Linked DNA regions of Pelodiscus sinensis. The protein of the gene in region 1 interacts with the protein of each later gene in a biochemical or structural test. Links are inferred from orthologs where the notes say so. Each region holds a gene or a part of one and is shown on either strand. Other genes may lie near its edges.

The links.
Region 2: the proteins of NHERF1 (region 1) and ABCC4 form a complex in vitro, tested with the Homo sapiens proteins (3 studies listed by BioGRID and IntAct, with this or other methods). The link is inferred for Pelodiscus sinensis from reciprocal best matches to the Homo sapiens genes NHERF1 and ABCC4.
Region 3: the proteins of NHERF1 (region 1) and ADRB2 form a complex in vitro, tested with the Homo sapiens proteins (3 studies listed by BioGRID and IntAct, with this or other methods). The link is inferred for Pelodiscus sinensis from reciprocal best matches to the Homo sapiens genes NHERF1 and ADRB2.

What each region holds. Positions count from the first base shown.
Region 1 is NC_134730.1:13,339,806-13,350,425, forward strand, and holds the start of NHERF1 (Na(+)/H(+) exchange regulatory cofactor NHE-RF1), read right to left. Parts: upstream 4,832-10,620; 5' UTR 4,601-4,831; coding exon 4,130-4,600; intron 1-4,129. UniProt on the Homo sapiens protein: Scaffold protein that connects plasma membrane proteins with members of the ezrin/moesin/radixin family and thereby helps to link them to the actin cytoskeleton and to regulate their surface expression. Necessary for recycling of internalized ADRB2.
Region 2 is NC_134711.1:251,542,972-251,552,714, forward strand, and holds the start of ABCC4 (ATP-binding cassette sub-family C member 4), read left to right. Parts: upstream 1-5,802; 5' UTR 5,803-6,201; coding exon 6,202-6,275; intron 6,276-9,743. UniProt on the Homo sapiens protein: ATP-dependent transporter of the ATP-binding cassette (ABC) family that actively extrudes physiological compounds and xenobiotics from cells.
Region 3 is NC_134727.1:17,035,317-17,045,129, forward strand, and holds the start of ADRB2 (beta-2 adrenergic receptor), read right to left. Parts: upstream 4,732-9,813; 5' UTR 4,340-4,731; coding exon 3,160-4,339; intron 1,477-3,159; coding exon 1,391-1,476; 3' UTR 1-1,390. UniProt on the Homo sapiens protein: Beta-adrenergic receptors mediate the catecholamine-induced activation of adenylate cyclase through the action of G proteins. The beta-2-adrenergic receptor binds epinephrine with an approximately 30-fold greater affinity than it does norepinephrine.

The DNA.
Region 1 (10,620 bases):
CCAACTTCAGAGATGCCATTGCATTGTCAGCCACCCTGGTGACAAGCCCACAAGACACAGCTAGGTCTGAGACCGGGCAGAGGAGGAAAAGATACCAGGAGCTTCATGGCCCGAACAAGGAGCGCTAGTTCCTAATAAAAGGAGCCTTGTAACTCAAAGCTGGCTGTGACTATCTGGAGAGGTGGAATCCCTGGTGGGTGACCATACATTCCCTGCACCCTGTTAATGTTCTTCTGCCATATAGATCAAGTAACTCATGAACGCCCTTCGTCTTGTCATGCTGCTGTATCCATTGAGAGCTGAGCTCTAATCCATAGCGGGGTGCTACAGTAATGACCTCAGGGCTCAGCATAATTTTGATGCTCACACAGGATTTTCATCCAAGAGCCTCAAAGCGCTACAGATAATTTAGCCATACCAGGGCCTTCCGGGTATGCTGAGCTATGGGCAAAGAGATCATATACAGCACAATTATTTGTCCCTTTCCCCCCCACTAGTATGAGGAGCTAAGTGGACACCCTCCCCCCCCCCCCACACACCCCCCCCCAAAACAAACATCCAGAGGAACCTATCAGCTTTGGTAACTCTGCAGGACGATCAAGCCCTGCAAGCAGTACGGATTAGGGTACAATGGTTCACGCAGAGCTGGCTGCCTTTGGAACGGACCGACACACAGTAATCTCACACACAAGTTAAACAGGATTCACTCAAAGGATGCCCCCTAATTTTCTTCACTCCAGTACTTTGAAGAAGACAGGAAAGAATGTGCCTCTGCTAAGGACTGCACAAAACCAGAGAATGGCCCTTAAGCATCAGAGGATTTAAATCCTGCTAGGGAGGCAATTACTCCCTAGGAAGACCCTTATTTGAAGCACAACAACAGTTGATCCTATCTCTCCCTGCACACAAGACATGTGCCTGCTCCTCCACCCAACGCATTCAAGGGTGTGGTGGAAAACCAGGGCAACACACCCCCACATCACAAAAACAAATCTCCATTCCTCCCTGATAAGAAGTTCCTATCTCAAACTAACTCTGATTGGCATAATTTGTTGCCATAGTCCATAAAATAAGCCATCCCTATGCAGGCCAGAATGTGTCAGAGAATCTTTAAAAGCACATGGCAAGGTGGCAAAACAGTCTGACAGACCCCTACTGATGGAATCTGGCAGCACAGCTGGGTTTTCCTTCCTATCATTAGAATTCATTCTGACATGTGGCTTTAACTGTCCTGAATGTAAAGCCCGAGCTGTGCCTGCATTAGGGAGGGTACAATATGTTTGTCCCAAAGCAACCAGGACTCAGAGCTCCCTAAGGCTCTGGGCACATAACAAGATCTTTACATCATGGCAGTGAGGCCACTTGACTGATATGGCTGCAACATAGTAAAGATCAGTGGGAGGGAACGCCAGATTTCTGTCCCCTATAGAAAGGGCAAATTGCATCAGTGTTCTTCTTTCTTCCTCTCCCAAGGGTCATCAAGAGAAGACTCCTCTCATTTTAATGGGGTGAGATGAAAGATGAACCAAAAATTTTGTTGCCCCCATCCCCAGTCAAAGGGACTCTCACTCCCTGGCCAAAGCCACTTCAGCCCTGTCAGGCTCCTTTGTGGGAAACTGAGGAGTACAAAATCCTGCTATCAGCACATCTGCTCCAATGACCTGGTATTTTCCCATCAGTCTGTGCAGTTGGCAGGCTACCTCCCAGCAGAGCGGCCAAAGGGGAACATGTGTTCTAGCTGCAGACTAAAGTCCAATAGAGGGAGAAGTTGCAGAATTAACACTCCTTAGCAGAAATCAGTAAGAATGTTAACTCAGCGCAGACACCAAAGTCCATCCATTGTCCTCACTTATCTCCTTAAGGGCACCCTGCTCCTCCTCCTCACACCAGCTAACACCCTGCCTGTAATTGGGATTGCTCTTTTACAGAGTCCAAGTCTAAAGTTCACAGCACCTCTCTAGATCCTACCCCCGCTACAGGTTGTTTTCTTGTATTAACACAAACTGATAGGTGACCCCCCCCCCCCAAAAAAAAAAAAAAACCAGGCTTTAGAGCATTAGAGGTTCAGAGCTGGAACTCAGAAAAATAGTGTTTGCACCTGAGACTTCAATTTACTGAAGTTGGGGAGTGGAGCTTCTTTGGGACATCGGACCAACACCGTTCTATTGAGAGTTCAAACTCTCACTTTGAGCCATTTTGGCCTATTTACATCTTTGTTTGATAATTAAGCCTTCAGTTCTCTTCTTCAGGCTCACCTCTCACCCTTAAGCTCTGATGAATAATGCACCCACTATGGCAGCTACAGAATTGTATACATGGAAAGTTTATGCTGATCATAAAGGAGTGACCCTGCTTCTTTCAAGAGTTCAGATTTTTCATCTCTCCCTTCCTAAGTAAGAGAACTCAGCTTTGAGGACCACCGATGGGTGAAAACATGAAGTCTTCACAACAAGGTACATATTTTTGATTATATAAATAAATATTCATTAGGTCATGAAGGCAGAGCCTCTATTAGTAACTACCCCAAGTAAGTAAAGGATGCTGAGTCTCAGTTCCAGAGTCCCTTCTCCCCCTCCACATTTACCCAAGACTTAAGTCAGCATGAATCAAAGTTCCCCATCCCTTTTATTTAGTTTTTAATCGTTTTCTGTCAGTAGCACCGAGAGGTCCAGCTCCCATTGTTCAGGACACTGCAGAATGACAGAATCCCTGCCCTGAAGAATTTACTACAATCTTTAATTGGATAGAGCAGCGAACAAAACAAGATACCGGTCAGTATGAAAAACTGGTCAGAGCACACCAGCAGCCTGACCACTGTCAAGGGTTTTTGGGAGGGGTTGCACCTTTTTTAAAAGGAAAAAAAAAAAAACCCACCATATCACAGCAAAAAAGAACGAGCGAGATTTAAAAGAGGATAATGCAGCTCTACTAGCTCCCCACCTCCTAATTAGCCACCAGCTACTGGTTCTTTCTGATCTATGACAACCTACGACATTCATTTAGTTGGGGTTGGACTAGATGATCTTCTATAGGTCTTTCAACCCTAATCTAGGACTCTAAGCCCACAGAAATTTGAATTAACTTTGGGATGCCTGAGGATCTAGTTAGAGGGCCCTGGACAAATAACCCATCTCATCATAACAGAGATGCTGATCTCTTTTGCCTCCCCACCAACTAAGAGCTACACAATTCTAACAAGCAGGAGAAGCATTCAGTTTCACATCCATACATGCACGCAAGGGTGGCATTAGTGTCCTATGAGCACCGAGAAGGCAATAGTCCTTGCGTTGTTCGACCATGACTCTCATCCATATCTGTAAGAGTAATTACACCACTTTCACTGCAATGCTTGAGAGGAAAGTGGATTCTGTTGAAAAGTAATCTTATTTCAAATATCCCAACTACAGCAACATGGCACCATGCAGTCCTAGTGGTTACTGGCAAGAGAAGATGCTTAAGAGGGGCAAACAAAAGCCTTACCCTTCTATGAAAAAAGTGAGCTAGGGAAAGTTTAACACCCCCCTTCCCGGCCCCCCACACACACTTGTTTACTTTGTGCAGCACCTCGCACAAGAGGGGACCCAGTCAAGGACCAGGACCCCTGAATACTCCCACGAACTTTGAATAGTGACTTTCAGTTTCCCGTTTGCCTCTATCATGTGGCAGCAGGAGAGAGACGTTTAAGCCTCGAGGATGGTATGTAGCCTGGATTCTTCTGCTTCCATTATTGTTTTTTCTCATTTGCCCTTCATTTTCATGTCTACCACTGCTTTCCCAAAACTTTTAAGAAAAGACTGGAAAGTGTGCTTGTAAAAAAGCAACAGGAAGAGTGCTTCATGGGCCAATGGAATGCTTGAGATTCTTATTACTTAACAGGCTAGATTTCAAAGTTGGCCTTTCTTTAAAAGGGGCACTTCAGTTAAAGTTCGAGCTACTTGAGAACCTGTCCCTCCTAGCCCCAACCTGCACGAACTCTTCACCCTTCTGCCTAATTCACACACACACACACACACACACACACACACACACACACACAGAGCACCGTGGCGGTCTCCCGCCTCCTTTACTTCTCCCGCTCCAGTTCGCCCTTAGACCCCAAGGCTCGCCCTCCTCCCCAGAAAGAACCTACATTTACCCTCGCCGCAGGGTGGCTCGTCTCCTCCTCCTCCTCCTCTGGCCGCTCCTCCTGCTCCTTCGGTGTCTCCAGCGGCTCCTCGTTACTTTTCTCCTCCGGCTTCTCCTGCCCCGCGGCGGGCAGCCCCCGGACCAGCTCCTCGCGGCACTGGATGCCCAGCTTCTGCAGCTGCTGGTCGGTCTCCGCGTCCACCACCAGCAGGCGCACGGCGCCCACGGCGGATCGGATGCGGTTCACTACCTGCTGGTGACTTTCCTTCTCCACGTTCTCGCCGTTCACCTCCACCAGCCGGTCCCCGGCCCGCAGCCCCGCCGCCTGGGCCGGGGAGTTGGGCTCCACCAGCCGGATGAACTGGCCCACCTTGCCCTTCTCCCCGTGCAAGTGGAAGCCGTAGCCGTTCGGCCCCTTCTCCAGGCAGCAGAGCCGGGGCAGCAGCTGCTGCTCGCTCCCTGCCCCGTCACTCATCTTCCCGGGGGAGCGGGGAAAGGGATCAGAGGAGCCCGCCGCAGCCCCGCTAGGACGCGGGCGGATCGCTCCAGCGCCGGGCGAAGACACCCGGAAAGCCCAGGGAGGTTCCGGGCAGCAGGTGTCCCCGGGGCGGGGTCTGGCCCGAGGAGAGAGCGCGCACCAGCAGGGAGACAACCACAGCGCAGCGCCCGAATCCCCGCCCCGCTCTCTGTCTGAGTTCAGCGCCTGTCACCGCCCTTTATAGCAGGGGGCGGGCAAGAGGGGGCTGGGAGGTGACGCCGGACCAATCGGAGTTAGGCGAGGGAGGAGCTGAGGGGCGCTGACCCGGCTCGTGAAGTGCGAGAGTGGATCCAAACCTCGAGAAGGCGGGGTTATGCAAATAAGAGGAAAGAGGCTCGCTTCCCCCCCCCCCCCCCCCCCCGCGCTCCTCCGCTTTCCCCACGTTTTTTGACAGGCTGCTCAGCCTCCCGCGTGCAAATTGAGCTCTCCGGAAGCAGAAGTGGCCCGAAGTCGCAAGAGCGAAGATTCTCCAGAAGGGCTGGGGCACTTCGTTCCCCCAGAGACAAGGCGTCTAAGAGAAGCAGGCGTGGGGCGCCTTGAGTCATCCAGCCTGCAGCCTGCCTCCAGCTGAGCGCTGCCGCGACTTCCTCGGGGGGGCAGAATGTTGGTCCCGGAAGACTTGCTGTGATGAAGGGAGGGCGGGTTGACTCATTGACTTATCCTTGTTTCTCAATGACACACCCCAAGCTGCTTACTGGCAACTGACAAGTCCTTTCTCCCAGGAGCGTCTGCCAGCAGCGCTGTGTTCAAGTGGCTCTCGATCGGACTGAAGGCGGTGACCGAGTAGCTTGGTAGTTTGGGGCTTTACACGCATTAGGAACTGGTGGGATTGCTAATCATATTAATTGCAATTAGAGCCATCCTTTCGGGTTTAGAACGCTCTGGTACAACTGCTGGGTCCTATTCACCCATTCAATTCATTACTCCAGTTCACAGCACCCTTTCTGTGAACCGCTTTCAGGCTGATGGGCTGTTCGTGAGGGATCTGCTTTAATTCTGTCTTTGACTAATTACTCTCCGGGGTGTAGGATGGGGTTTCACTTCGGTCACATGGTTGCTCTCTGATTGGATGGCTGCATTTTTTGAACAGGAGAACAATGGGTAACAAAAAACAGATCTGAATCTAGGCCACCAGAAGCAATCGAATTGTGTATTTACTAAAGCAACAGGAATCATGTGGGTTGAGACATATCAGATGCTAAATTCCTTAGTAAAATTGGGGAGAGAAGATGGACTCTGAATAGCCTCTGAGCTGGTGCTGTCATAGCAGAGGGCACTAGTCTGTTTCTGCATGTGGTTTGACAGCTTTACAGATCACGGGACTTTCCCCCCTTTGGTAAAGGTTGTATGGGTGCCAGGGCAGGTTCTGGGAACTTTTCTCTCTTTCTCAAAATTCCAGATCAGGTTCCCGTGAATTTCCCTTTGCAACTCTGCTAGTTGGACTTTGTCTATTCATCCATAATTTGGCTTTGTGGAAACCGCAGAGCTGTGTGAGGTTAGTGCTGCCTGTGTAAGTAAAACCCACTCCAAACAGCATCAGGAGAGAGCCATTTACAGAACTCAGCATCATCTTTATGATAAACACTAAGTATAACACTGTTCAATATAAAAGCAGTTTTATTTTGCAGGATAAAAGGGAGCAGCAGCTTTTTGTTGAGACTATATTATTCAGGGGATACATTTAAGAATCTACAATGGACTGTCCCTTGCACATGATACCCCATAAGACTTCATTTACTCTTTCCTTAACTGTGAAGGTAACAGAATGCAGAAATCTTGCAATGATGAACCATAGCATTTCTCAGCATCCTCACTATTTAATTGAGTCTAACATGTTAAAAGAGAACATTTGAAGGGACAGTCAACTTAAAAAATGCCATTCAGATCTGAAAATGCTGCACTTACTATTGTAACTTGTAACCAGTGTTCCCAGTAAGCTGGGCCCTTGTGTGGCCACTCAGGAGAGATTCAAATGCCATTAAGCTGATAAGCAGAGCGCTCACTGCTAGGTTTGTGTTTCTCCTGATGGTGCACATTTATACACGCTGTGGTGCACATACAAATTTATTCCACACATGGCTGGAAAAAACTCTGCATGGGGATGGAAAAGATTACAGGGAACATTGCTTGTAACCCCTATGAGCACTTGAAACAAGAGTCAAATTAGACATTCCCCCTCCTCCCATACATTTACTTTGTGCATTTGACACCAGTTGTGCACCCTCAGGTTTCCTGTTCTGGTGATGCCTCATCCCACCCCCAGGCCCTGCCCTGTATAACAGCAGAGCGAAAAGTGAAAGTGAACAGTCTGAGCACCTCTGGTGGTTTTACTTTTGTTCTGAGGCCTGGTCAAAAATCCCTCTGAGCTAAAACAGAGAGGCAGAAAAAACTCTAACAGTTTTCTTAAAGGAATTAAAATGCAAATTAAAACTAGTTTTTTGTCAGTTTTGGGGACCCTTTTTCCATCATATATGAACACTGTCGTCTGCTAAACTACCACAACTTCAGCATAATTTAAAATGCAAGGACAGAAGCTCCTGTGGAATAGATGGAAGCTTTTATGAAGCCCCCTACAGTTGGTTTATACCAGAGATCGGGAATGGCGAGATGCAGTCCCTGGCTTGCCTGAATCCGGCCCCTGCATTGGGGAGCTGGTTCTGACACTCTGGCCCCACTACAGGGCTGGAGCACACAAAATCTACTTGGCTTGTTCCCACCCCCAACGCTGGTGTGTGAGAGGAATGTGGGTGTCTTCTCAGTCAGGGGCCATGTCAATGGGGGGGGGGGGGGAGTTGTGCAGCCCGATTGATTTTTCTGTGGGTTAGTGGCTCCTGTCCCAAAAAGGTTCCCCACCCCTGGTTTATACAATTACTATGCTTAACAGAATTACAGAGACACAGAGCTAAAGTGACAATGTCAACTGGGAAATCCAGCAAAGTGGACTTATGCGGACCTGTCTGTGCCCTATCACTGCTAGTTTCAATTCCAGCAGGATGAACTCAATGTCCTTAGGGAAGTGGACCATCTTCTTTGCATTTCACTGCAAGAAGGCAGGTACAGGACTAAAGAGCCAATTTAGTTCTAAGGAGAGCCCTTTATGAAGTAAGAGTATTTTTCAGAGTGGAAATAAAGGCCTTATAAGGAGTCTTGGGAATCACAATGGGTAATTATCTCCTTTTTAAAGTTTATCAGCGGTGGGTTTAAAACCTACGATGTTGATCCTGTAGAATGGACCTCTATAGCTAGAGAAGGGTAGCCGAGTTAGTCTGGAACTAGAAAAAGTTTTAAGTTTCTTTATAGCTAGGTGAGTAACTCAGCAGTCCCAGTAGGCTACCAAAGATGAGACCCAGCCACAACACATGCTTTGCAAACATGACAGACAGCTTCTTGAAAAGTAGTGCAATTTGAAGGAATTCTTCAAGCAAAAAATGTGCTTTTCAGGAATCTTTTTATAAGCCATGAAATACAAGTCAGTTCTGGCAGGGGAGGGTTTAGAAAGGCACAGAGGGAGGGAGGTGAAATTCACCAGAGGGAGGGAAAGAAACACACCACATACCCCGCAGTTCAGGAACTTTGAGCACTGATGATAAAGCAGAATGTGACAGCTTTCCTAATGTTTATTTGGCTGCAAGTATCTTAATCTTCCTGGTTTCTCCCAGTCAGTGTGGAGTTTTTTTTTTCAGCAGCTGCTTAGTAGGTTAAGAAAGATCAAAATTTAGGATGCAAAACCGAAAAGAATTTAAAAGAAAAAGCCAACTAACTCTCTCTCTTTTTTGCAAGCATCAGCTTAGCTACAGAAGCAATTCCATTGGTGGGAAGACAAAGGTATTTGGGGAATGTTAGACTCTGTACCATGAGAACAGCAGGGGGAGGAGGTTGGTTTTAATTTAACAGACCATATTTACTCTTCCCCATCACCTTTGGACTTCTGAAATGTGCAGTGAAGTCACAGGGGCTAGGCAGACGCACACCAGAAATTCCAGGGCTTGTGCTGTACTTATTTAATGCCCAGCAAATATTGCATTGCAGATACCCAGCCAGCAACACCCTCTCTCTTCTCTAAAGAATTGGAAATTGCTTGGGCCAAGAACTAGGTGGACACATTTGCTCTCCAAAATACTGAGATTTAATTCTGTAACTTGCAAACAATAAACCGTGAACAATAGAAGAGGCAAAGGAGTCCCATGATAATAGAGAGAGAAGCTACGACTGCCAGAGAATGGACTTGCTGTGTATGATCCTGCGACTTCTAAGAAATTCCCATATGGAATGGTAGTGCAGTGTCATTCCATAGCACTTGTGGTGGAACTAGACTTGCCAGATCCTCGTGAATTGTGTAAAGAAGATTGTCAAGAAAAATATTTTGGGTTTTTTTCCTGTCATTGCTTCCTGCTAGTGTGATAACATGTGATACTAGGGTGACTTTGATTTTACTGACAAAGGATTTGATCCTACTCCCAGCAAATGTAATGGGAGTTTTGATATGGATGGCAGGAGAAGCAGGTCTAAAGGAAGGGTAAAATGAAGCAACGCGCAGCAGTGCTGATTTTAGAACATACAGGGTCTGATCCTGCTCCCATTAATCTCAGTGGCAAAACTCCCATTGATTTTGGTGGAGTCAGGGTGAAGCCCACAAAATTCAGAGGCAAGCACAATACAAAGTGTTTGCTGAGTGAGGTGGCTGAATGAGGCATCATTTCTTTGCCGAGTGGGTTTAATCTGATACCTGACAAGGGCAGGGAGAAAGATTTGCATTATATACGTAGACAAAAAGGAAATGCAAACAAAATTCAAAGCTGGGAGTTTATGAATCTCCTGTGTGATCACCTCTGCTCTGATTCAAAGCCTAAATCTGGACCAGGCCTTAGCCTTACAAATGAAGTGCTACCTTTTGAGACAGCCCTACAGCATCTTACATAGCCTAGTATAATGATGTGATGCCATTTCAACTCCCCACACAATCCTGCTTTCTTGTGGGGCACAGACGCAAAGCTGAGGTGAAATCGGTGATGCCAATCTCTGGCAGAGCACAAGGGGAGGTAACAGACTTGCACCCTGTGAAGAAAGCATTCCTGAGATTTCAAAATAAGAAGGGTCAAGGGGAAACAAAGAACAGGACCCTCTGTCTCCAGAGAACTGCTCAGGCTCATGTGAAGCTCTGAGAACTGTGCATAGGACATAGCAAATTCAAACATCGTAATAAAAAATACAACCTGCAAGTAATGGACAGATCAGAAAGTGACACAGTTGTGAAAGACACAGTCATGCTGTTCTACAGTCTAACTCCAGCATTGGTTTGGCAAACAACATTTGTGCTTCCTCCCTGGAGCATTAATTATTAGTTAAAGCATTTCAGTGTTAAGTCAACCCTCCCATCTATGGTCTAATTAAGCATCGTCAGGGCATTGCCCTAGATGATACTAATAAATTACAGAGACCTCCTGTGACAAGGCTCGTGCTCCTGGAATATTTATTCCTACAAAAGTCTCTTCTCATCTGGCAGAGCATAATAGCCAGTGTGACCGGCTTGAGCCAGGTCCTGCTAGACCCTGTAACTCCAGCCGTCCTCCTGGCCTCAGTGTGAGTTACATCTTGTCCACAGTGGGAGCACTTTACTGGTGTAGGAAAACTGATGTGCTAGACCAGCAATGCATTCCTAGTGTGGACACAGACACAGCTCAATCAGCAAAGCTGTGCTTTGCATCAGTACCATACCGCCCATGTGAAACAAGCTACACTGGTATCGGCACAGTTTTGCCAGTGTCATTGTGTCTACATTACAGACCTTGAGCAGCATAGCTATGCCAATCAGAGATCAACCTCTTGCCAATATTGCTGTGCTCGGTGTCTGCAGTGTAGACATAGCTTTTGTACCCAGGGGGGTCAACAAAATTGACTTTCCTTCCGTGCCTCAGTTCCCACAGGACCTGGGCCTTTTTGGTTTTTTTAAGCATATA
Region 2 (9,743 bases), on another chromosome or scaffold:
GAATCTAATGATAAGCCGGCGCTGAGACTGTACGGATTTGGTCAGCGCTATGCTCAGTTGATATGGCATCTCATAGTGTCCAGTGCCATCAGATGGTCCACAAACATATCCATAGAGCACAGCATGCAACACTGACAATACCAAGATGCATGGATAGGACTGTTGATGAGAGACACAATCAGGGAAGTAGCCCAAATTGTTCCTCGACAGACTGTATTTTGCCATAGAAAACATACCCAGACACTGATGGACCAAGGGACAGTCCCCACTCATTCCCTCTACAGTAACTGACTCTATTTAACTTCTCATGGGTGATGTACCAGAACATTTATTTCTTACCACCTAAATACCTGCACACTTAAATTTGGGTCAGTGTTTGTTATGTATCATATGAATCTTGTGACTTTCTGACAAAACTTGTAATTTTCTGTAATCCCAGATGTAGACAGCCTTTCCTTTAAACTTGTGCAATGTGACTTTTTTATTTCAAACATTTGCTTTAATTATACTAGGGCACTGAGAGCCTTGTATAGATATCTTTGTATTATATTTTAAAATGAAATAAAAAGCACAAGAGTTAGGAGAGAGAGTGAACCCTGATGGCTCAGAACAAAGCCTTGAGAGACTGAAAACAAAAGAAGGAAGAGGGAGAAGGTATATGGACAAGTAATTTTTTTTGCTCAGAGGATCATGGAGTCAGAGAAGCAGTTGATATTATATATTCTGCATCTTAGATTCTGTGTCTATCAGGGTTTTTCTTTTAGTTGATAAATAGTCTCTGAGTATGGTGGGGAAAGCAGAAAAAACACTAGCTAAAAGGACAGAAACTTCTAAAGTTCTGTCAATGAGCGTGCCATTTCCGTAAGCAATGTGTCATTGATAAATAGAAGAATCCCCTACATGTCACCCTCTAAAACAACTAGGACTTTTTATACACATGTATGTAAAGGAAACTTGGCATCATGCAGAGCCCCCAGGGCAGTGGTTCAGAAGAGGAAATGTATGTCTTCATATGTCATTGGATTAATTTATACATGCAAGGCCCTAAAATTTTTAAAATTTATTTAAATTTTAATAAATACAGGAAAAGCAAGCTCTGGATTTCTTAGAGAAGAGGATAAAAATATAAAACATACTAACTCTCAAATATAAAACATACTAACTCTCAAATGGGGAGAGATATGACCCCCACTTGGATTGACAGTTCCTATTTACAGAGCATGGGTGGAAAATATGTCACAGATCCATCTCTGCCAAAGTGGGCTCATAATCTGTGCTTAGTGCCTATTTAAAAAGATGGCAGAATGATGTGGCAAGGCCTTGGTGCATAGTTGAATACATAGTCTCCTGCCATTTCCTAAAGATGTCTTTTCAAACACATCTTTAAAACATCTCTGGATCACCCAGACATTCGAGGTCCAAAGTCCTAAACATGGTAAGCAGTCTGTCCAAAACTCTGCAAGGGTTGGACATTTCAGCAACAGAAGACAAATCTCTCATTCAGTGATGCTTCATTCACTTCAGTCCATCTGATCACATAAAGGTATGACTAGGGGAGCAAATACACCAGGAGAGTTGGAGACAATCAGAATGTCTAAGTTTCCAGAAGATAAAAGCTCCAAAGAACCCATCAATCCACATTCAGCAAAAGAATTAAGAACGTACAGATATTGCAGTCACTGATTTCACATTCTCTGGTATTCAGTTCTGAAACTCTCAAATATTCCAAGTATACCAAAAATGCAAGTTCAATTTTTGTTTTAGATGTAAGGTTCTGATTTCAACCCTGACCCAACGAACAGATTCCTCATCTTCTTCTGTAAGCCTGCTGCCAAACAATGGAAAGGGTACAGTCTTTTCTAAAATTCAAAGCATTAATTCAAATTCATAGCATTCATTTACTGCATACTTTCCCCCCATCTTTCCATCCAGCCCTTCAATGTTTATCCAGAAAAGTTTTTTTGCACTGATTTTCACCTGTTTGTGTTGTTCTGGTAATAAACACTGATAAATTCCTGGGGAAAACGAAGTAAAATAAAAACTGAAAATAAAGAGGCTTAGCTATACCATATTATGGTTATAAAAGTCATTGTGAGGATGAACTTAATTCACACTTTAAAGTTGTTTAAAGAAGTTCTGTTTGGCACAAGCTGTTCTTGATATATCTTGTAGGACAATCAATTTCAAAACTGTGTTTTACTCTTGCACATTCAGACTATAAAGTCTTTATTTATGTGCCATCCAAATCACACAAAGTTTATCACAGCAATTAATGAGGGACTTGAACTGAGATTTGGGAATAATTTTTTTTTCTGATAGTACCTGGAGGAAAGCTTAAATAAAATGTTTCAGAAGTAATAAGCAGTTATATTTATCTTATTTATAATTTTTAAAGTCTAGTGGATACCTTTAAGTATGAGGGAGGTGGGTGCTTTCCATCTTGTTACTAGATTTGCCCAATACTATGGGGTATGCTCATTTATTAGGGTTACTCTTATGGGACTGGGGAATTCTATCAATTCTATCAGTGTGCTGCTTGTGCTCTCATATGGAGCTGAATTCTCTCCCTGTTGTCAATTCCCCCTCCCACTGGAGCTCTCCTGAAGGAACTAGGTTCCTCAGGATGGGATTCTTCCCACCTTAGCAACACACACAGACACTCACACCCACTACCAGAGCATGTCTGAGAGGACTGGGTACTCAGCACTCACAAGCTGACCCCTCATATGTCCCTGGATTCAGCAGGATGGGTTAACAGCAATGCTACACTGCACCATCATGAGCCTTTAAACTCAGTTCGCTGGATTAAACAGCACTTTAAGCTGCCATACTCATAAGCCTCCAGGTTCAGCACCCCCTAACCCCACTTTCACACCACAGTAATTCACTGGTAAACCACACGATGAGCAAACCCCACAGGATTTTGGGCACTACAGGGATCTTTAGCTTGGGTGCAAGAAGTGTTGTTGCAGAGTGAATGGGGAAGCCAAAACAACACCCCTTGAGGAAGAGTAAGTGAAAGAGAAAGAAAGAGAGAGAAGCAAACAGCTTAACAATGAAAGTTATTTTTCTGGGTAGTGAATAGATATGAAACAGTTACAATATTAAATCTAAATTGAAACTGATTACAAATGTTTGGTAACCATATAACAGTTTACATAGGTCAGGGTCAGGAGACTATGCTTAGAGAGGCAGTTGGGGGTGAGGAAGGGAGAGAGAGAGAGACCTTACCACTCCGTGGAGCATGCACTGATCGGAATTCCCAGATGGTGATAGAAGCTGGGGGTCTAGAGGGCAGGAGATAAGCAGAGCAGAGCCCCCAGCACGATCAGACAGGAGATGATGAATTCTCAATGGAACTGATTCAGTTTAAATCCAGGTGTCAGAACAGTTTTTCTTGGGACAGGGTAGGAGTTTTTATAGGGATAGGACAATAGTTCAAAGAGAAAAAGAGGCGGGACAATAGAGACTGATCATCCCTGGTTATGGATGATGTTCCTTGAACAAACTCACAATGCAACTAGGCAGTTTCAATATTTTGGATGTCAATAGGTTCCATTACTAGAATTGGTCTGATAATGACTAATTGGGGTGTGAGCAGGCCTGGCTTCATTAGCATCTGGAGCAGAGATTTCCCATCAGGCAGTGCTTCTCTGCTTTTGGTATCCCATAGTTCAGTGCGGTTCTGCTTTGGAAGAGCTGGTCTCCATTCTGTATGCTAATAAGATGTCCCTCTGTTCTATCTTCAATGCAGATGAGGCTGGGGTGTTTCCTTAATTAGTTTAGGTGTATCTTCCCTGGCCTTTTCATTGCTTTGTCTGATTCTAGCAAACCTAGGAGAAGGGGAAGGATGGTTTTCCATGAATGTCACTCCCTGGCTCTCCAGGAGCACAGGGCTGGTAGGTAACCTGCAACTGTCCATCAAAATCTAATTAGTGCTTATTTGTATTTTAGTAGTGCAAAGAGGGGCTAGGTGCTGTACAAACATGTAGGAAAACTATGCTTCCCCTAAGGAGCTGCCAGGCTAAGGCAGTGGTTTCCAACAGGGAAGGTCCACAGACTATGTCTAAGATTTCCAAAAAAGCCCTAGCTCTATTCACAATTTTAGAGGCCTGCAAAAGAAAGAATCATAGAAGACTACATAGAGATTCCATAACTTCTCTAAGCAATTTATTCCAGTGATCCAGGGTATGTCTGGACCTTGTCCACGATTTCCGCACTAGGCACAGGAAAGTGGCCGTCTAGGGCAGGAGAGCTGCCAGCCTGGCCACCCAGGAGCAGGTGTGCAAGAGAATCAAGGGGGTCCAGTGAGACCCCCGTCCCTGAGCCCTGAGCTTACAATGGCCGTCCTGGGTCAGACCAAAGGTCCATCTAGCCCAGTAGCCTGTCTGCCGACAGCGGCCAACCCTAGGGACTCTGGAGGGGATGGACCGAAGACAGTGACCAAGCCATTTGTCTCGTGCCATCCCTCTCCAGCCTTCCACAAACCTTGGCCAGGGACACCACTCCTACCCCCTGGCTAATAGCACTCCATGGACCCAGCCTCCATGACTTGATCTCACTTCCCTTTAAACTCTGTTCCAGTTCTAGCCTTCACAGCCTCCTGCAGCAAGGAGTTCCACAGGTTGACTCTTTGCTTTGTGAAGAACAACTTTCTGTTACTAGTTTGAAGCCTGCTACCCATCCCTTTCCTTTGGTGTCCTTTAGTCCTTCTTTATGGGAACTAATGAAAAACTTTTCTGTATGCACCCTCTCCACCCAACTCCTGTTTTTAGAGACTTCTATCCTGTCCCCCCTCCGTCTCCTCTTTTCTAAGCTGAAAAGTCCCAGTCTCTTTAGCCTCTCTTCATATGGGACCTGTTCCCAACCCCTGATCATTTTAGTTGCCCTCCCCTCTCCCAGCCTCTCTCTTCCCCTAACCCACCTCCTTTTCCCAGTCTCCCCCAGTTTTGTTCAATAAAGACAGATTCCATTTTGGAAGACATGTTATCTTTATTTTGTACATCAAGAAGAGGGGCTAGGGAAGGGTAAGTGGAAGGAGGTGAGGGAGGAATGGGGCATGAGCCCCTGATGGGGAGGACTGGGCTGGCTCTGTGGGCTTCTGGAGGTGGAAGCTCTCCTGCAGCCTCCCAATTGCCCCCTCTCCCCAGATGGCAGCCTGTGGCAAGTGCAGCTGAGCTGATGGCTGAGTGGTGTGATGTGCCTAGTGTGGGTACTCCGGGCACTCCAAGCCAGGACTGCTTTGCAAGCGGGGCACCCCTGAGAACTGTCTTTCCGGGGTGGGGGTCGGGACCCTTTAAGCACAGCCCTCGGCTAGCCTGAGACAGCATCTCCACACTCTAAGTCCTCCTCTGATGCCCTGCCGGCACTGCTTCCGGCCATCCTTAACCTTGGTTCAGGGTCCACTTAATGTGGACATGCTAGTTCGAATTAGCAAAATGCTAATTCAAACTAGTTTTTAGTTCTTTTCTTGGGGAATAAGCTATCTCGAAACAGTTCTTTCAGGAGTTATTTTGAATCTAGTTATTTCAAACTAACTTCCTAGCATAGATGTCCCCTGACAATTAAGAAGTTTTTCCTAATGTCCAACCTAAGCCTCCCTTGGTGCCCATTTCCACCTCCTGTCAGAAAACATGATATAAAGACAACCAAGATGGGACTTCAATCCACAACTACAGAGACTGATACTTTATCCAGTCAGTTCCAGGGGCACCTATGAAAGATTATAACCCCACTGATCTAAGGTCGTTGCCCCCATGGAGCTGGCCTCCTGTGGCTTCCCGTTAACTTTCTAAGGCGCAAATCCTGCAAACATTGCGGCCCCTCAGGGGAGCTGGGCAGCTGTAGCCGGAGCCAGGAGGGGGCTCGCGTGTGCGGGAGCTGGAAGAAAGGAGGCTTATTGAAATCCTGCTCGCACTGAAGGCCAGGCCCGAGCCCCCCTGCCGGCGGGCGGTAGGTCTCCCGGCGCTGACCGCCCACGCTCCAGCACGTCTCTTGCCACGTCCCGGGGCAGCGCTTCGCGGGGATCGTGCCCGGGCGATGCCTGGCCCCGGCGGCTGCTGGCGGACTCCGGCCGTGCGAGGGCGCCGGGGCTGGGTGTCAGGTTTCCCGGAAGCGGCGCCGGGCTGGGGAGGCGGCGGCTGCCGGCAGCTGCATGCTGCGGGCCGGGCACTGAGCGGCGGCTGCAGGTGACAGCAGGGGATGGAGGCGCCGCGGCGGGAGAAGAAGCCCAACCCCCTGCAGGCGGCCAACCTCTGCTCCCGGCTCTTCTTCTGGTGAGTCCCCGGCCCGCGGGCTGCTCGGGCCGCCAGGAGCAGGCGTCGGAGCCAGGCGCGCACAGGAGCTCGCCCCGCGCCCAGGGTCCGCTCAGGGGCTCAGGCTCCCTCCCGGGCACGCGCTGGACAGAGCCGGGCAGGAGCTGCCGGCCGGGCTGGCGGGGGGGAGTGTGACCGCGGACAGAGCAGGGGGGAGGCTGTGCACATGGGGGGGGGGAGTGTGACCGCGGACAGAGCAGGGGGGGAGGCTGTGCACATGGGGGGGGGGGAGTGTGACCGCGGACAGAGCAGGGGGGAGGCTGTGCACATGGGGGGGGGGAGTGTGACCGCGGACAGAGCAGGGGGGGAGGCTGTGCACATGGGGGGGGGGGAGTGTGACCGCGGACAGAGCAGGGGGGAGGCTGTGCACATGGGGGGGGGGTGTGACCGCGGACAGAGCAGGGGGGAGGCTGTGCACATGGGGGGGGAGTGTTACCGCGGACAGAGCAGGGGGGGAGGCTGTGCACATGGGGGGGAGTGTTACCGCGGACAGAGCAGGGGGGAGGCTGTGCACATGGGGGGGGAGTGTGACCGCGGACAGAGCAGGGGGGGAGGCTGTGCACATGGGGGGGGGGAGTGTGACCGCGGACAGAGCAGGGGGGAGGCTGTGCACATGGGGGGGGAGTGTTACCGCGGACAGAGCAGGGGGGAGGCTGTGCACATGGGGGGGGAGTGTGACCGCGGACAGAGCAGGGGGGGAGGCTGTGCACATGGGGGGGGGAGTGTTACCGCGGACAGAGCAGGGGGGGAGGCTGTGCACATGGGGGGGGGGAGTGTTACCGCGGACAGAGCAGGGGGGGAGGCTGTGCACATGGGGGGGGGAGTGTTACCGCGGACAGAGCAGGGGGGGAGGCTGTGCACATGGGGGGGGGGGAGTGTTACCGCGGACAGAGCAGGGGGGGAGGCTGTGCACATGGGGGGGAGTGTTACCGCGGACAGAGCAGGGGGGGAGGCTGTGCACATGGGGGGGGGGAGTGTTACCGCGGACAGAGCAGGGGGGGAGGCTGTGCACATGGGGGGGGGAGTGTTACCGCGGACAGAGCAGGGGGGGAGGCTGTGCACATGGGGGGGGAGTGTTACCGCGGACAGAGCAGGGGGGGAGGCTGTGCACATGGGGGGGGGAGTGTTACCGCGGACAGAGCAGGGGGGGAGGCTGTGCACATGGGGGGGGGAGTGTTACCGCGGACAGAGCAGGGGGGAGGCTGTGCACGTGGGGGGGGGAGTGTTACCGCGGACAGAGCAGGGGGGAGGCTGTGCACGTGGGGGGGGGGGAGTGTTACCGCGGACAGAGCAGGGGGGAGGCTGTGCACGTGGGGGGGGGAGTGTTACCGCGGACAGAGCAGGGGGGAGGCTGTGCACGTGGGGGGGGGGAGTGTTACCGCGGACAGAGCAGGGGGGAGGCTGTGCACATGGGGGGGGGAGTGTTACCGCGGACAGAGCAGGGGGGAGGCAGGCTGTGCACGTGGGGCCGGGGGCCTTTCGCTGGGACCAGCCCCCTTCTCCAAGCCTAGGTCAGGTCCCGTGCGACCCGCTCAGCCGGGCTGCCCCGCGTCCTTTAGCCTCCCGCCAGGCCGCTTCTCGCGGTCCGGACGAGCCAGAGCGCACAGCCGGGGGCAGGCTGGTGGAGCTGCCAACCTCCGCTGCTCGCTGGGCTGATGCTGTGCGCCCGTGGGAGGGCAGGGGGGCGGCAGCGCCATCGCGAATAGGGAGCCTGCGATGCTCGCTGCTGTGCGGAATTGCCTCGTTGGGGACTGATTTCAGCCCCCGGCATGATGTTGTTCTGTGTAGTAAATGGAAAAAGGGAATGTGCTACTTGGGTCACAGCTTCTTGTCTGAGCCACCTGTGCTTAGGTCAGTTGTGATGCAAGTTGTCAGCAATTTTCAAACAAGCTGTTTCTTCCACTTACGCAATGAGCAGAGGCGAACCAGTCACTTGTTCCTTCTAACGAAATCTACCCTACCTCGAGCAAACTCCTGGTTTATTTTTTCTTTTTTAAATGAGATCCCTTAAGTAGCACGTGGCTCTCTGGGGAATCTTGCAAAGCAATACCCAATTATTAGCTGGCTGCTTCCTACAGTATCGTTCCTGACTATTGGTTGTTCCGTTTATCCTCTGGGGATCCACGTGTTGAGGCTAAATTTAAAGTGGACTGACTGCTAAGGAACTGCTTAGAAACTGCTTCAATTGAAGTAGGCAGTTAACATTTCTGCAGTAATAGGACAAAGGAGAATTAGTATGTCATGAATTGTTAAAATGAGCCATCAATTTGGAGTCTCTGGAGACCATCATCTTTAGCCACTGCCTTGTCTGTTTTCATTATTCAAATTGGGAGTAATTAAAAATATGTGGTTTAAAAATGTTTTTATTTGTGCTTCAGAATGTCTTGTGCACTAATACATGGTAAAACATGTACCCTAAGCTCCAAAACTACATCCCATGAGTGGCATTGGGAGGGAGATTGTGATAATTGCTGTTTTTCTTAAGTCCTGACTACTGGATTCATGTGAATACATTAGAATCTTTGCTTCAATTGTTTATAAAAAAGAAAGTTTCTAGCGATTGTAGTTGTAGAGAGAAGAATGGAAACGAGTCCCCCATACTTGGTACTCTAAAGTAGTGTTTTTCAAACCTGCTAGGCTGTGTATTCCTTTCTAAATAATTCAATCTACATGTACCCCCATCTGAGACGGGCAGAAGTGACCCATTGGGTGGAATGTGGGATTACATGCTCCCCCAATTTCTGCCTTTTTTCATCTTCTAGTTACAATTTTTTATTAACCCCCCCTACCCTGACAGATTGGTTGACAGTGGTCCCTCTCGTTCTTTCCATCCACACGTGGAATACATCTTGTTATATGCATTGAGGCATATGTGGATATGTATCACTAGTATCGACAAATGTTGCTGGCAATGATTGAGCTGTGGGAGCTCTGCTGATCAGCTGGGCAGCATCTGAATCTCTCCTGAGTAGCTCCCCAAACACTCAGTGTATGGGGAACACTACTGGGTGGGCTGCTGAGGTAAAGGAAGTAGAGGTGGTGCTCCCATCCTGAGCCCCACCGTGTGGGGTGGGCCTGAACTACCTGGCATTGCTGCTTGCCCCCTAGATGTTCCGCTGAGCTCCCGTGGGAGGGGGAGAGGAGGAGGGAAGAGGGAGGAGAGCTACACTCATGGGATGTAGTTCTGGAGCCTAGGGTACATGTTTTACCATGTATTAGTACACAAGACGATAGCATTTCTGAAGTACAAATAATTACAAAAACATTTTTAAACCACATATTTTTAATTACTCCCAATTTGAATAATGAAAATAGACAAGGCAGTCACTAAAAATGATCGTCTCCAGAGACTCCAAATTCATGGCTCATTTTTAACAATGCATGACATACTAGTTTGAAAACATCTATACTGAATATAATGTGTTTCTG
Region 3 (9,813 bases), on another chromosome or scaffold:
TACTACTAAATTTGCAATTTTGTTTTGTTTTCCCTCATATTTTTTTCTCATTAAGGTTCTATTCCAGGTCACCCCTTATGCGAATCCTAGGACACGAGTCAAAACGTTTTTAGATGGAGTTGCCTGACCTTTGCATGACTCCAAGATTGACTAAAAGCTATTTCAAGCAAATTAGTCAAAGCGCAAAGCAGTTTCCTAAGACAGCAGTTCTGTATTAACAGATTGTAATAACAAAGCAGGAAAACAGAAAGAGCCCAACATCCCAAGATATGAAGCGTTCAGATACTGTGATGAGGGATTTGGCATGTAAGTACACAGAACAGATTGGAATGGAAAATGTAACTGCCTGGTAAAGGACCCCGTGGGTGATTTCCCCCCACCTCAATATGTTTTGAAAGGACCCTTCTTTTTCACATCCCCTTTGCAGTTGAGCCGCACCCTTTTAAAAAAATGCCCATGTGAGCCTAAAGAAAGAGCCCTGTTCTCTAATCAATTCCTGCATTGAGAGAGGCAGAAGAGCAACAGTTCCTTCTCAGTTCCTCACCCCTGACTATACTCCTTCCCGCCTGCACCTGTCCTCTTATGTCTAAGTATTAGCTTCCCGTCTGACAGCCCAGGGGAGCTTGCAGCCAACGGGAAGCAAGTTTTGCAAACCAGGAACAACATGAAAAACTAATAAATTAAAACAGTGCCACAAAAACACACAGTAATATTGGAAACTGACCCAGCCTTCCATATCCATTGTCTCTTGACATCAGACACTCTCTGAATTAAATAAACCAAGTTATTTTATTTTAAATAACAAACCTTTAGCTAGAAGTTTGACTAAAATGATTTTCTGTGACTTAACAACAGAGACAACTTTCCAGCTACCATCTCAGTGACATTTTCAATCAGTCTTCTTCATTCTCCCAAATTCCCCAAGTTTTTTTCTATTTTTATGACACAATCCTATAGAATGTAATAGAGAACACTCTTTTATTTGTTTCTATAAATCATCCTACCAAATTTAACAGACCTATATCTTGTATATATTTCTATAGAGCAGTTCTAAATCCCTATAGAAATGAACTCATTTCCTTTAAACATATAAAAGTTTTATGGAAATTCTAAACGAACCTTTTCAGAGCCCTGCAGAACTCTGCTGGTTCTGTAGAGTTCCAGAGGATTATTCCATAAGCAGGACTTTGCACCATACTTTCCATCAGAAAATTTCTGACCATGTGATTCATTTCATTGTTTTCTTTTGTACAACAAGAAAATTCAGGTTCAAGTGCTGGTTTATTGGCTGTGTGTGGGAGCAGGAGGAGGGGAGATTTCACTTTATAACAGCATGGGGTGATCTGGATCATCGTATGGTGGTTCCTGGCCATCATGAGATGAGGGACACTTATTCAGAGGTGACACAAAATGCTGTAGGACAGACTGCCAGTTGAATGACACCAGTAGCACTGGGGTTAGCGGGTATAACCACTTCTGAAAGATGGGAAGAGCAAAAGAGGGAAATTTTAGGAGTGGGGAAAATACTGCCCAGCAGATTTCCATTAAAATGTCATTAGAGTCCCTCTGTAAACTGAACCAATGATGGAGGGCTGTAACTGGGAACAGCTCGAGGGCTACTTGCTGAGCTGAAACCTGCTGGACCCTGTTCTGACTGACGGATCCACCTTTCTTAGCTATGCTTGTCACCCCCAGGGCAGGAGAGCTAGGAGTGGTGGCCTGGGAATCAGGCTCACTGTGGTCAGAAGGGAAGGGCTAACTCATGTTACAGCTCTCGCTGAACAGTCCAGTTGCCCCTGCCCCCTGTGTTTGGGTGATGTAAACTACAGAAACCCAGCACCAACAATGATGGGCTTAATCCTTGTTAATTCTCTAGTATTTATGCTCAGATCCTTCTAGATGCCAACATTTACCTATGTCCCAAGTACAGGACATAAACCCACTTTTAGCGTATGTCTACACTGCAACACTATTTTGAAATAACTAGCTCTATTCTGAAATAACTTAGTCCGCATCTACACAGCAGGCAGTTATTTCAAAATAGTATCAAAATATTGTCAAGCTGGAGGACTTCTTACTTGGATGCGTGTAACCTTCATTGTATGAGGAGGAAGGGAAGTTGGAGAAAGAGTGCTATATTTGGAAATAAGTGCTGTGTAGACCCTCCCTATTTCAAAATAAGCTATGTCAAAATAAGATACATCATTGATGTAGCTCAATTTGCATAGCTTATTTCAAGTTAAACCCTGCAGTGTAGACACATCCTTAACCAAGGAAACTTCTAGAAAGGAGAAGTGGGGTTAGTTTCTTTAGCATAAGCTGACATTACCCATTACTCTCATAGCTAAATCACTGGGATTTCAATAATACACAGTAATGAAAATGTGTGGGTGAGAATTAAATGTAGATCTCAAGTGGAGGGCAATTGAAAATCATTTCTGGACTACTGTGAAGCGTGACCATCTGAACTGGGATTAATAGGGATGGAGGGAGGGAGGGAAGGGAGATGAGCCATTCCTAGCAGAATTTAGTATGAAGCCATTAGAGCTTCATCCCACTGTTAGACAGTGGAGAGGACTTTGCACTGACAGGTGCAGGGAGGTCAAACCAATAGACACTGCACAAAGAAGTAAACTTTAGCCTCCATTCCTCAGAGGAGGGGAAATTGAACCCTGAGTGGTCCCGCAGTAAAGGCTCCACAGACAGCCCTCTGACGTGAGACACCCACACGTCACCAAGGGACTTGAGTCCAGCTGGAGTCTGAGGGCAGCGGTCACCTGCTTATTATTACTAGAGCTATGAGGTAGATAAACAGGAACAAGAACACCGCAGCAGTCACGCATTCCTCAGGGGACGAACCTCATCCACAGTCTTAAAATAACCCTCAGTCGGGGAGGAACTAAACATGTCCTTGCCCGAGGATTCTGTACATCCTGCAAATAAACAAGCCCTCCCCCCGCGAACGGGGCACACCCACATATGTATAGCGAGCTTGCTAGGTTTAGTCCCTTGGCCCTACCAAAGAACCGTTACATTGTTGGTGCCTTTTTAATTGGACTCGGGGGCGGGAGGAGGGTGTAAAAGCGCGTCTCTAGAACACGGACTCGGTTGTGCCATGCCTGACGCCCTGGGACTCCACGCAACCGTTCCGCACAGTACCTTTACAGTGCGCTAAGTCCTCGCTGGCAGGCAGCCCAGCTTCTTCACACAGCAGTTCACACGTTTTGCCCTGTCCCAGGGGACAGCCATTGTCCTCCTCCTCCTCCTGGAAGTCACTTTTCCCGTAGCTGTTGGAGTACCCATTGGCATGCAACTTCAGCGCAGCTCGCCGGAGGCACAGCAGTTCCTGAAAAGCGTACCTGAAGTCCGGGCTTCTGCAGTAAATCAGGGGGTTGAAGGCGGAATTGACATAGCCCACCCAGTTCAAGAGGATGTAGAGGTAAGTGGGGATGATGTTGTCCCGTATCACGTGCACGATGTTGACGATGAAGAAGGGCAGCCAGCATAGAGTGAAGGTACCCATGATGATCCCCAAAGTTTTCAGGGCTTTGTGCTCCTTCAAGCAAAACTTGGAAGTTCTCCGGTGACTCGCTCTCCCGTTCGGCTCCTGCTGGTTGTTGTTCTGGTTATGAAACCTCCCTTCGCTTTTGTCTATCTTCTTCAGCTGCTTCTTGGCTACCTGGAAGACCTTGGCGTAGACGAAGACCATGACCACCAGAGGCAGGTAGAAGGAGATGATGGAAGAAGTGATGGCATAGGCTTGGTTAGTGAAGAAGTGGCAGCAGCTGGCGTTATTGTAACACTCGAGGGCTTCCGGGCTCTCCGCTCTGTACCAGTGCATCTGGATAGGCAAGAAGGAGGTCAGAACAGACACCACCCAGACCACGAGGATGACAACCCTGGCTTTGCTTTTGGTCAAGAGACTCTGGTACTTGAACGGGGAGGTGATGGCAAAATACCGGTCCACCGCGATGACGCACAGGGTCTCGATGCTGGCTGTGACACACAGCACGTCTACGGCGGTCCAGAACTCGCACAAGAAGTTCCCGAACTTCCACTGGTTCAACATGATGTGGCTGGCGCCGAAGGGCACCACGGCCAGCCCCATCACCAGGTCGGCGCAGGCCAGGGAAGTGATGAAGTAGTTGGTGACGGTCTGCAGCCGCTGGAACTTGGCGATGGCCGTGATCACCAGGACATTGCCAAAGACGATGGCCAGCACGATCACAGACATCAGGATGCCCATGCCCACCATCCAGACGTCTTGGTGCAGGCTGGGGGAGTCTGTCCCCGCTTGGCTGCTCCCGTTGCCCGCGTGGCTGGGACTCACGGACCCCATGGCTTCCTCCCCGCAGCGGCGACAGCTCTGCGCCCTGCGGCGGCCCCGCGTCCCACCCCCGCCGAGCTGCGCTGGCGCTTTGCAGGCAAGTCCGGGACTGTCCCAACCGGCGTCCGCTGCCCGCTGCACAGCCCCACACGCGCTAGCTGTCTCCGGCGGCTGGTGCTCGGCTGGTGCCTGCAGCAGTCACACGATGCGTCTTCTAGGTGCTTCCAGCACCGCAGCTCCCAAGAGAGGCCGGCGGCGGCTTGGCCGGGCTGGGGGACTCCTGCAGTTGGACTCACTGGTAGGTTGTTTGGAGGTTGGGGATTTGCATTGGCTGGTTCCCCTTGGCCCCCTCCCCGCCCTGCCCTGCCGCAGCTCCAGCCTGGGCAGCCGCTGCCCGGCCCGGGCTCCTGGCTACAAGTGTCCTGAGCCCGTTATGTGGCAGGGCGCTTATAGGAACAGCCCGTCGTGACATCAGGCAGCCCCAGCCAATGGGCTGCCAGCAGGACACACGCGCGCGCGGCTGCCGGGGCTCCTGCTAGTCTGGCCCGGGGAACGGGTCTTGCTGCCCGGTCCGGGTGCCTCGCGCTGGCCTGGTTCACGGGGGAGCCCGCACTTCGGTCCGCGCTGCCCGCACCGCCCCCTCCTCTGGCCGCGCGCAGCCCAGGTCTCGGCCGCTCGCTCCAGGCGCTGTGGTGGACAGAGGCAGACGCGCCCCCCCGGGCGCTGTGCGTTCCGCGCTGCCCCTTCGGCCCCTTCGCTGGATTCCGCGGCCGAGCAGGGTTTCGCACCGTTTCCCTCATCACCCTCGCTCGGGGGCGGGGGGGGGGGTCGTTTTGCGTGCGCCACGCCCCGTCCCCACGCCTGTCGCTGCTTCGCGAGCGAGGTGCTCGGCGCGCCCTAGCCAGGGCTGCTGCGCCTTGTGTGCTTGCACCGCGAGGCGGCCGCGGGGCTCTGAAGTGGACCCGCAGAGCCCCCCATGCGTGGGAGAAGCCGCACGGGCAGATCTAGGTGCTGCGTGTCAGAGGGAGGAAGGAGGCGGGATACTCTCTGCCCGCCCCCCGCCGACACCGCCCGATGCCCCGGGGACTGCTGGTGTACAGCTCCCAAGGGCACTTTGCCAACAGCCTGCTACTACTTAGCCTTTGTTCTTCAGCTTTAATTAAAATCACGTCGGGGCGCTGGAGACGGTGCATTTGTACAGTTTCCCTGCCAATCGCTGAGACGCAGGTAGTTACAATCAAGGAGCCCGCTACGTATCTGCCTAACTACTTTCAACGTTTAGCCAAGTTACTGCGGGTACGGATCCGTGAGTGCAGATAGTATCGAGATTCCATATTTAGAGCAGTAGGTGCAACTACTTTGTTTGCCAGATTAAGCTTCCAAAGAGACTTCGTTTCTCTAATTACAGCATTTATCTTGCAACACCCTCCTTTTAAGTGCATGTCTAAACGTAGCACATGATCCCTGGAACCAGATCATTTAGCTCCTGTAAGGAAAACTTCCTTCCTGATGGAAGAAAATACAGGGCAACATTTAACTGCGATGTCTAGGGATAGGAAAGAGAAGCCGAAAAAGCAGTGTTATGTTGACTATGTACACATACTTTTGGTACTCTACACAGCAGCGTTATTTTGCAATAACTGATGTTATTCCGAAATTACATAGTGTGCATCTACACTACAAGCCTTTCTTTCAAAATAATGTCAACTTCTTTCTCTGACTCATGGTAACCTTCATTTTAAAAGGAGGAAGGGAAGATGAAGGAAGAGTACTCTTCCTTTGACTTCTTGCTGTGCAGACAGCACCAAAAGCCAAATTAAGCTATTTTGACTTGAGCTATGCAATTGACATAGCTGAAAGTGGGTAGTTTAATTCAACTTTAGTCCTGCTGTGTAGATGTACCCTTTGAGACAAGGACCCAAATCTGCCTCCTCTTGCAAATTTTCCTGCTGGACCCATTCATTGGGATTGCCAGCACAGTAATGTAGTGGTCAACAGGAGTAAAGATGTCAGGATCTGGCTCTTTAATATTTTGCAGTTTTTATTTTGAAAGCAGACACATTTTGTCATTGCATAGGGAAGTCATGGAAACCCATAGGAACAACTGACAGGGTATAACTGGAATGGAGGGCAGCTTCCCCAAGTCTGAGCCTGTTAGTGTTGGGGATACAACAGTACAGATTTCTCATTGTCGGTTTCCATTCTGATCCTATCTGCTTGCTTGTAGCTATCAGTGGGATAAATCCAAGAGAAAAAAAGGAGGCTGGAGAGCAATGGGTTAAATTGCAGCAAGGGGGATTTAAGCTGGACATTAGGGGTATGTCTAGACTACATGCGTCTGCCGACAGAGGCATGTAAATTAGACATACCAACATAGTCAATGAAGCAGGGATTTAAATATCCACCGCTTCACTAGAATAAAAATGACTGCCACGTTGTGCTGGCTCAGCTGTTTGTCAGCATGAACCAGCAGTCAAGATGGGGATCAGTCGACAAGGAAAGCCTTTGTCGACCAATCCTGTAAATCTCATTTTATGAGGCGTAAGGGATTAGTCAGCAAAGGCTTTCCTTGTCGACCGATCCCTGTCTTGACTGCCGGTTTGTGCCGACAAACAGCTAAGCCGGCACAACGCGGTGGCCATTTTTATTCTAATGAAGCGGGGAATATTTAAATCCCCACTTCATTGACTATGTCAGTATGTCTAATTTACATGCCTCTGTCGGCAGAGGCATGTAGTCTACACATACCCTAGGAAAAACTTCTGAACTGTCAGGGTAGTTAAACACTGGAATAAATTGCCTAGGGAGGTTGTGGAATCTCCATCAGTGGAAATACTTAAGAGCGGGTTAGACAGACATCTATCAGTAATGATCTAGATGGTGCTTGGTCCAGCTCTGAGGACAGGGGACTGGACCTCTTGAGGTCCCTTCCAATTCTAGTATTCTGTCCATATGTGGAATAATTTTATGTGCACTGAAGCATGTGCAAATGTGCACCAACAGTAGAAACATAAAAGCATAACTGAGCAGCATTGGAATCTCTCCTGAACAGCCACAGAAGTGCACAGCTTTCAGGGAAGAGTGATGGAGGGGGACCATGTGTTTTGGACTGAGTTGGAAGAAGGCAGGGGAAGTGGATCAAAGATTCAAGAAATTTGAACCAGCTGAGGACCAATCTCAGACACATTGTTTGAACTACATCTGTGTTCTCAGAGGTCATATACAATTAAAGACCGATATAGTCTTTTTAATCTGTTATAGGACAGTTCAGCTATTCCAGAGGTCCTGAACACTAGGAGAAAGACCTTTTTCTTCCTCTGGTTGTGCTGCAATTTACAGTTTACTAATTTCTTGGTAAGTAGCGAGAGACCTTTTGACTTGAGAAAAGCAATATAGAAGGAGAAGGAGGAAATGTTATGTGCCTTTGTTACATGATAGCTTTGTCTTTTCATCCTCCCCCCCTTCTCCCCATGCCAGTTTATATTGGAATTGTTAATACACTGTAACAATTTTATCTGGCTGTACACTTAAAAAGATAATCTTTTCAAATTAAAGGTTAATAACTTTTAATTTATTTGTGGCAAATGCATGGGGCAAATGTCATTTCTCTCAACAGCTTCAAAGATTTCTCCTTAATGCACGTCTGGTCTATAATCAGAGAGTTGTGACCCATCTTCAGTAAAACCATGGTACTGAACAAATGTATTCAGTGATTTCCCAAAACACTTGAGAAATGCTGTTAGAAATATGCCTGACCTGACCATATATATTCCTAACATGGTTAACCTGCTGGTCTGAGTTTAAATGGATTTTCCCCAAAAGCAAACAGTTTGTTATGTTAGGGAATAATGATTACCATATGCTCCTTTTTATCTAAAAGGAGATAATTTTGCCTTTTATGTTTAGTATCTGCTTATTTATTTATAATGAAACCATATCAACTCAACGCTTCTTTTTTCTGAGATAAAGTACATTCCATGTAGCATGTGAATTCTTTTGGACATGACTTTAAAATCTGAGGTCCTTTGGGCTGTGATGTACACGGACTTTAAGATCTCCTAGCATTTAAAATTAAAGATTGCAGCGGTGTCATGTCTAAAATACACCTCTTGTCTATAGTTGTGCATTATGCTGTGCACTTGGTAACTGCTGCCTTCCACACCAGAGGTAGCTGCATTTCTCACACACACTCTCTCTGAACTACCATGTAAGGACTGCTAATGTATGCGTACATTTGAAGAATGGGGCCCACAATTTGCAAAGCTCTTTGGAATAAAAGGTGCTATAGAAATGCAAATATTATTCATAATTAAATGGGTTTGAGGTAGAGGGCTGATTATTAATCTTCTTTAGATTTCTGAAGGATTAGTAATGTTGAATCACATTTTAAAGTTATCAAGACATTAAACATTCATAGGGTTACAGGATTCTGTCTCATTTTCCCATTGCTAATAGAAAATTAAATGTAAAAGTAATAAAGCCCTGGATGTTACATTCTGCAACATAAGTCTGCCTACAATTGCTCTGCTTCTTTCACTATCCATCATTTCTAAGACTTTGGGGTGTGAGCAAACTTCTCAGAACCTGTTGCTTCAAAGCTACTAGGTGTCCCATGTCACGCAAATTCTGCTCTTGAGGTTGCATTGTTTAAGCCCAGACCTGCTATAGTTAGAGTGCTACATTGTACACGTTCTGTGGTTTTATGAAAGAAGGGTTAGTAAGGTGCTAGAAACTAGAAATAAACAGTGAGGTTTTTGCTTAGTGTTGCAGAGGTTTCTCTTAGGATGTCTCAACCACATTACTGGAAATATTTTCAGACCTTACCCCCATGTTTTGTAGTTAAAAGCCACCCCTAAACACAGGATCTTTAACATTACTAAAATAAATAGTATTTAAAAAAAATAAAAATTGATGATGTGTACAAAAACTGTTTCCCCTGGAAATATCCAAGACCTTTGGAAAGAATGGGGGTTGGATAATCAAAGCATGCACATATTACAGAATGAAACATAAGTGACCTTTGATAAAATAGTCCTTTCACTTCACTGGAGATGGGGTAAATACAGGCAGTCCCCGGGTTACGTACAAGATAGGGACTGTAGGTTTGTTCTTAAGTTGAATCTGTATGTAAGTCGGAACTGGCGTCCAGATACAGCCGCTGCTGAAACTGACCGCCAGTTCTGACTTACATACAGATTCAACTTAAGAACCCCAAGCTTCCCCAAGTCAGCTGCTGCTGAAACTGATGAGCACTGATTCCAGGAAGCCTGGGGCAGAGCAACTCTGCCTCAGGCTTCCTGTAGTCAGCGCTGGTCAGTTTCAGCAGCGGCTGACTTGGGGATGCCTGGGGCAGAGCAGCTGGGGTGCAGCTGGGTTGCTCCAGTAGCACCGCTCCTCGGCGCTACTGGACCAACCCAGCAGCACCCCAGCTGCTCTGCCCCAGGCGTCCTGATTCAGCCACTGCTGAAACTGACCAGCAGCGGCTG